2 linked regions of the Sus scrofa genome follow. The protein of the gene in region 1 interacts with the protein of each later gene in a biochemical or structural test. Links are inferred from orthologs where the notes say so. Each region holds a gene or a part of one and is shown on either strand. Other genes may lie near its edges.

The links.
Region 2: the proteins of TJP1 (region 1) and CLDN2 form a complex in vitro, tested with the Homo sapiens proteins (2 studies listed by BioGRID and IntAct, with this or other methods). The link is inferred for Sus scrofa from reciprocal best matches to the Homo sapiens genes TJP1 and CLDN2.

The regions. Positions count from the first base shown.
Region 1 is NC_010443.5:145,192,927-145,197,356, forward strand, and holds the start of TJP1 (tight junction protein ZO-1), read right to left. Parts: upstream 2,932-4,430; 5' UTR 2,865-2,931; coding exon 2,692-2,864; intron 1-2,691. UniProt on the Homo sapiens protein: TJP1, TJP2, and TJP3 are closely related scaffolding proteins that link tight junction (TJ) transmembrane proteins such as claudins, junctional adhesion molecules, and occludin to the actin cytoskeleton.
Region 2 is NC_010461.5:87,351,492-87,354,483, forward strand, and holds CLDN2 (claudin-2), read left to right. Parts: upstream 1-1,477; 5' UTR 1,478-1,612; coding exon 1,613-2,305; 3' UTR 2,306-2,431; downstream 2,432-2,992. UniProt on the Homo sapiens protein: Forms paracellular channels: polymerizes in tight junction strands with cation- and water-selective channels through the strands, conveying epithelial permeability in a process known as paracellular tight junction permeability.

The sequences.
Region 1 (4,430 bases):
CCACAGAGTGGTGCTGTCCATCTCAAATTCTCCGTGTGCAGTTGCTAGGACAGTGGCAAAATGAAATGTCATCTAGAAAATACATTCCAGAAGATGTAAGGAATCCATATTCTCCAACTTAAAAAAGGACTATACACAAATCATCAAAAAATACTAGAGCCCTGGAGAGTGTGCGCGCACCTTACTTTGCCCCTTGAAAAACCAGATGAACATCTGCAAATCTACTTAATATTGAGTGGAAATTCTGAATGCTCATTTAAGATTGTGGAAAAGCACAACAAAATCCTCCTGCTCTTTCCAGGCTGCCTCTTTTTAAGACGTTTTTTAATGCTAGCCCCAGTCACTGCCTGCCTTGAACGTGACTCTCTAGAGGAAAGATGTTCTTTGTGTTCTCTTCACAAACTCTTTATTGGGGAAAGCAGTTGTGAAAACCGCCCTCCAGTGATCAAAAAGAATAAACCTGCTTTCTTGACCTTGGGACCAATTGCTGCTAATATTCATACCTAACAGCTCCTCGAACATTATCTCCATATCTTGGTTTTTAGATGTAACATCAAAAAATTTTCCTTAACTTTCTTTCCCAGTTACATATTATTAAGAATTCATTTAGGAGTTCCCATCGTGGCTCAGCAGTAAGGAACCTGACTAGGATCCATCAGGATTCGGGTTTGATCCCTGGCCTTATTCAGTGGGTTAAGGATCCGGCATTGCTATGAGCTGTAGCTTAGGCTGGCAGCTACAGCTATGATTCGACCTCTAGCCTGGGAACTTCCATATGCCACAGGTGTCACCCTAAATAGACAAAAAAGAAAAAGAAAAAAGAATTCATTCATTTAGGATTCCTCCTGTGGCACAAAGGGATGGACAGCATCTCTGGGCTAGGACACAGGTTCAATCCCCAGCCTGGCACAGTGGGTTAAAGGATCTGGGGTTGTCGCAGTTGTGGCTCGGATCTGATCTCTGGCCCAGGAACCCCATGTGCCACAAAAAAGGGGAAAAAATCATTTATTCAATACACATCTTTTGAGAACTGATTTTGTACTAGACACTAGCTGCAAGGAATTCAGTAGTAAACAAAACAGACAAAAAGCCCTGGCCCCATGCAACTTACATTCTAGGGCGAGGGAGAAGTGACTTACATAAAACTTTAGTAAAATATGTAGTTTGTTCAATACTGATCAGCGCTCAGAAGAAAAGGTGGATGGGGATTAAGACTGTTGGTGTGGACCTCTGCTGTTTTTGCTGTAAACATTCATCTAAAAAGTTATCTTCAATTGTTACTTCTTTTTACTTCATAATATCACCATATCCTTTTTTTTCCCCTGCACTAGAGTCATGTGGAAATTGCCAGGGCCAGGGATCCAGCCCACACCACAGCAGCGACAACACTGGATCTTTAACCTGCTTCACCACAAGGAACTCCCCGTGACATATTTTTGATGTATTTACTAAAACCCTCTTCCATGAACATTTCTTAATTACAGCCAACTTTTATCAGCCTAGTCTTCCATGTGTTGACACTTGCTGTTCATCAAATTAAAATACCTTCTGCAGAATAAATTTCTGTTTTTAAACAACTGGGAGGCAGGGAGAGGAAGACACTAACATTTACTTGGCACCTACTATTTGGCCAGGCATAGAAGCAGGCAGGCACTTTGTATTTACCAGGGCTTCTGATCTCCATATGACCCCAAAAGATAGGTAACATCGTTCTCCTGTTACAGAGGAAGAAACAGATACTCCAGCAATTGTCTAAAGTCACACAGTAAGTGTGGCATGGCTGAAATTTGAACTTCGAGGCCCATATTTTTCAGTCTCTCCTCCAAAACTTTGCACTACTGGGATTTTTTTTTTTAATCTTCTGTTTTTCTTGGCTGATCGATCTTTATATTCTTTGGATCGTTATTACATTTTGTCTTATATAGCAAAAATTTTACTTTTCTCCAGTGCCTAAAAGCGGCCTCACATCCCTTCTCCATAACCTTAAAATTAAACTGGACTATGTTTAATGGAATCGAATAAACCTCTCTGAACCATATTAACCACAATTTAAAAAAACTTGAAGTGACCCCTGAACTCGAAGATCACTGGCACCTTTTTTCCCCCTACAGTCACCATCCCCTTACCTGAGCACTCCTTTTGCTATAGAACCTCACACCTAGGTCCTAAGTCGATGGAATGAATGCCTAGGTAGTCACTGGGATTTCACAGGGCATATTTAAACGCTAATAAAACGCAACACAATCAGAGATAATCAACTATGAACATCAGATATGGATAACCCCACATTTTCTTTCTTAGGGGTATTCTTCCCCATCACCCCAACAGCAGTTCCCAGGTTGGAAGAACTGGACCGCCCGCAGTAAATTACAGTCCCTGAAATCTCAACAATGACCCGCCACTGACGCCCCGAGCGAGGGAGCGGCGCGCCCTTGACCGCGGACCGGGCAGAGGATGGATTCTGAGAAAGCTCAGAAAGCGCTCGCTGATAATACACGGTTCGCTGCCTCCGCGTCAGCCCGGCTGGAGATTCTCAGCCAGAACCCGCAGCGGCGGAGACCCGGGGACCCGCCCCGCCGTCGGCTGCACACTCACGGTAGTCCAGGCGAGGGTCGTGAACGCGCCCCGCCCCCGTCCCCCCACCCCCTTCCCCGACCCTGGTCCGCGCACCCCGCGCCCCGCGGCCCTCACCACAGCTTCCTCTTGAGCGGCAGGAGGCTGCCGCGGTTGGACGGCGTGACGCCGATGGCCATCTGCAGCACCGTCAGGTATTTCTGGTACTTCATCTTGTCCCCGCTCCGCTCGCGGCCAGGGCCTCGCCGCCGCCGCCGGCGCCGCAGACACAGCCCCTCCAGGCGCCGCATAGGTCAGCCCTGGGCCATCCGCCGCCCCGCTCCGCCGCCAGGCTCCGCTTCCACCGCCGCCGCCGCCGCCGCCTGCGTGCCGGCCGTGCGCGTCCGGGCTCCCGTTCCCGCGTGCGTGCGTGGTCTCCGCTCCCGCCGCCGTGCGTGGCCGCCGCCCCCTTCCTCCCCTACCCACCCAGCTCCAGCCCCGCGCCGCGCGGCGCTTCACACCCGCCCGCGAGCCCGCGCCCGCCTCTGTGCCGCCGGCTCCCAACTGCGGGCGAGGCCGCCCCTCCAACCCCGCGCCGCCCCAGCGTCCTCCGGTCGCACAGCGCGTTCACTCCCACAAAATCCCAACCACAATCTTCCAGAGGAGAAAAAAAAATTTTTTTTTTTATAATTACTACTTGACACCATCATTTATGTGCTCCACCCAAAGTGTGTGCACGTGTTGTGTGTCTGTAAAATGCACGCACATACACATGCTGTTTGTATGTATAATATGTGTATATATGTCGGTCCTCTCTGGCAGGCAGACCAACTGTGGAAACAACCCTGAACCGTGCAAAACTATCTTAAAAAGAGTCGACGGGAAAAAATGAAGACTGTTACACCGACCTTGAAACATTTTGTCCAAACATTCCTAACTCTTCACTGGTGGTTATAAGTGTATAGAGAAATGGGAAAATAGCAAAGCGAATCATTTGTTGTACTGTAAAACAGTGCAAACGTTGAGAACTGAAGTGTTTTATTCCTTTTCTTGTCTTTTTAGGGCCACACGTAAGGCATATGGAAGTTCCTAGGCTAGGGGTCAAATTGGAGCTGTAGCTGCTGGCCAATGCCACAGCATAGCAATCCTAGGCCAAGAGCTGCGTCTGTCACCTACACTATAGCTCAACGTGGAATCCTTAACTCACTGATGGAGGCCAGGGATGCAAGCAGCATCTTCATGGATACTAGTCAGGTTCCTTACCTCTGAGCCACAGGGGAACTCCAAAGTGTTTTATTTCTTGCAACAAAAAAGTAACGAGTAACATAAAGGGTGCTTGTCTTTTCCTAGAAGAGTTGTTATATACCCACAGAGCCTGTTTTCTGTGTCTTGGCAAAGAGTCATGTTTGGATCACTTTCAAGATTTTATCCTCTGGGTGATCACTGTGGTAGAGTATATTAGAGTTCCTTTAGCCTTATGTCCTCTGGGACATCATCATCCTTTCTGTCACAGTCCACTGTCCTCATTCAAGCTTTCGTTTGGTACATTCCTCTGGCAGCATGTCCAGAGTCACTGGAAAGGTGGCAATGTCAGCATTCCCACAGTTGCCTATTTTTTTAATAACTCCAGTTATATTCCATTCATATTTCATGTCTCTTCCATCTTTACCATTTTTGTTTCTTTGCTGCACTTCCATCTTTGTTGGCTAATTCACTCTTTCATTTAACCTGATTTTTTTTTTTTTTTTTACAAAGCTGTGTACGTTTACCACTGGAAGAAAAGAAGGCAACGTAATTGTACACTTTTCTGCCAGTGGCTAAGCTAAAAAGTGCTCAAAGAGGAACACTGACAATTTTGAAAGAACTACTGATTGGTC
Region 2 (2,992 bases), on another chromosome or scaffold:
CCTGGGAACCTCCATATGCCGCGGGAGCGGCCCAAGAAATAGCAACAACAACAACAACAAAAGACAAAAAGGCAAAAAAAAAAAAAGAGGTGATTAGAGAAAGAGAAATCTTGAAGAGAGTAAAATGAAAGAGACATCTTGAAGAGGGTAAAATGGAATAGCCAGATTGTGGAAAAAGTAGTGGGGTCGGAGGGTCTTCCAATAGCTGGAGAGAAGGATGACCCTTAATGTGTCGAAACTTGGTAAGAGTGGCAGGGGCTGGGGGGATGCTCACTGAACCCTGCAAAATCCCGAACAGCTCTGAGATGCTAAAGGCTGCCTCTTGCAAAGCCCTCTATTCTAGAGCAGTTATCTTTTCCTCTGTCTGTCCTGGTGCCCCTAACAGAGAGCTTAGGGAATGTCAGAACTCCCTCCAGGCCCTGGAACAATCTTTGCTCCTGAATCCTCCCACGTCACCTAAAAGGCCTAGGGATGGTGGGCCACCTCTGAGGAGGGTGGGCAAGAATTGTCGGGGTGGGAGTTCCTGTCGTGGCTCAGCAGTTAACCAAACTGACTGGTATTCATGAGGATGCGGGTTCGATCCCCGGCCTCGCTCAGTGGGTTAAGGATCCGGTGTTGCCGTGAGCTGTGGTGTAGGTGGCAAATGCGGCTCAGATCTGGCATTGCTGTGGCTGTGGTGTAGGCTGGAGGCTACAGCTCCGATGAGACCCCCTAGCCTGGGAACCTCCATATGCCGCGGGAGCAGCCCTAAAAAGACAAAAAAAGAAAACAAAAGAAAAGAAATCTGCGTGTGTTATACAGACAGGAGACCTCAGGCTAGCCTGTGGAGGAGGATTTGGGCAGGGCTGGGAAGACTTGAACTCTGAGACAGTGGACTGAAGGCTTTGTTGCCTGTCCCAACCTGCCCCAACCCTTTCATCATGGACAGGTTGACTCGGGCCTACATCATTGCTCTCTAGGCCTTTGGAGATTCGAGAGGTCTCTCACAAGCTGGAGTTCACGGCTCTATCTTGGGGCCTCTTCCTCCCACTCCAGTTTCCTGGAGTTTGGCCCCAGTGTGCAATTGAGGGGCCCTGTGGCACTGTTGCCGGGCAATGCGTTAAACAGTAGGCCTGGGAGACAGAACCGTGCCAGCCGACAGCCTGACCCGGAGTTAAACACAGTCCCCACGACCAACGCTGCCATCACCAGCTTCTCGGAAAGCAGCCACCCGTCTGGCCGCTGGCTTTGTCTGGCTGCCAAACTAATGCATGTGCCTACGCAGGAGGCGACGACATTTTGGCTCCACTTTCAAAGTTTTTTTTTTTTTTTCTTTCTCGTGTGTTATTTCTAAAGATAACAAAGGTCAAAAGGCATCCAGCATTTTCTGGTTTCTCATAAGCTTCTGGTCAATATTTAATCTGGTTTATGGATTTTTTTTTTTTTTTTAGGTCTTCTGGATGCCTTCTTGAGCCTGCTCGTGGCCACCCACAGACACTTGTAAGGAGGCGAGAGGTCGGCCTGGCGGAGACACTGTGCAATGAGGGATTAGAGGCCAGGATCCAAGGAGCAAGTGCTACAGCCGGGAGACGAGGGAACGGGCCCTGAAGACGCATCTACGGAGAGGTCGGCCATGGCCTCTCTCGGCCTCCAACTTGTAGGCTACATCCTGGGCCTTCTGGGGCTCTTGGGCACCCTGGTTGCCATGCTGCTCCCCAGCTGGCGAACGAGTTCTTACGTCGGGGCCAGCATCGTGACGGCAGTCGGCTTCTCCAAGGGCCTCTGGATGGAGTGTGCCACGCACAGCACTGGCATCACCCAGTGTGACATCTACAGCACCATGCTGGGCCTGCCTGCTGACATCCAGGCTGCCCAGGCCATGATGGTGACATCTAGCGCCATCTCCTCGTTGGCCTGTATCATCACCGTGGTGGGCATGCGGTGCACCGTCTTCTGCCAGAACTCTCGCGCCAAAGACAGAGTGGCGGTGGTGGGTGGAGTCTTCTTCCTCCTTGGAGGCCTCCTGGGCTTCATCCCCGTTGCGTGGAATCTTCATGGGATCCTGCGGGACTTCTACTCCCCCCTGGTGCCTGACAGCATGAAATTTGAGATCGGAGAGGCTCTCTACTTGGGCATCATTTCCTCCCTGTTCTCCCTGATAGCTGGGATCATCCTCTGCTTTTCCTGCCCACTGCAAGGAAATCGCTCCAACTACTACGATGCCTATCAGGCCCAGCCCCTCGCCACCCGGAGCTCTCCGAGGCCTGGTCAACCACCCAAAGCCAAGAGTGAGTTTAACTCCTACAGCCTGACAGGGTATGTGTGAAGACCCAGGGGCCAGCGCTGGCGGTTGGGGGGGGCTGGGTCTGTGAGAGCCAGTGGACAGCCTTCCCCCAGGGCCACAGGTGAGGGACATTGCCACTGGATTGCGCCAGAAGGTGCTGCTGAGGATAGACTGACTTTGGCCACTGGATCAAGCAAGGGCAGAAACGGGAGCTGCTGTGACAGCGTGCAGGTTGAACTGTCAAGATGCTTGCCAAGCCAGATTTTCGGTTCCCTTCATCTTGGCGCCCCGTTCCTCCCACCTTGAATCCCCAACTCTCCACTCTAAACCCACCCCCCACCCTAGGCCAGGCCCCAGAGGCGCCCCTCAGTCCTCTGGTTTACCTGAAACTCCAACCCCAAACCCACCAATCGCATCCCAGTGACTGACCTTCTCTGTGATCGAAGACCCTTCCTCTTGCTCGGGTTGGTTCTCAGCTCATTGCTGGGGGGTGGGGGTGGGAAGGAGACACGGTGGCTTCTATGGCCATCTGGCGCTAAGCTCCATCCCAAGCCTCCCTCCAAAGGAACTGATTGGCTAGTAAGTAATGGGCCCGGGAGCCTCCATCCCTCTCTTGTTATAACTCCACAGTGTCTGGACTGGTTTGTGTGTGACCTGAAATAAAGCCATCCCACAGTCCCAAGGGAACAGAGAACCAGTGGGTGTAGGATGAGAGGGAGGAGGGGGACC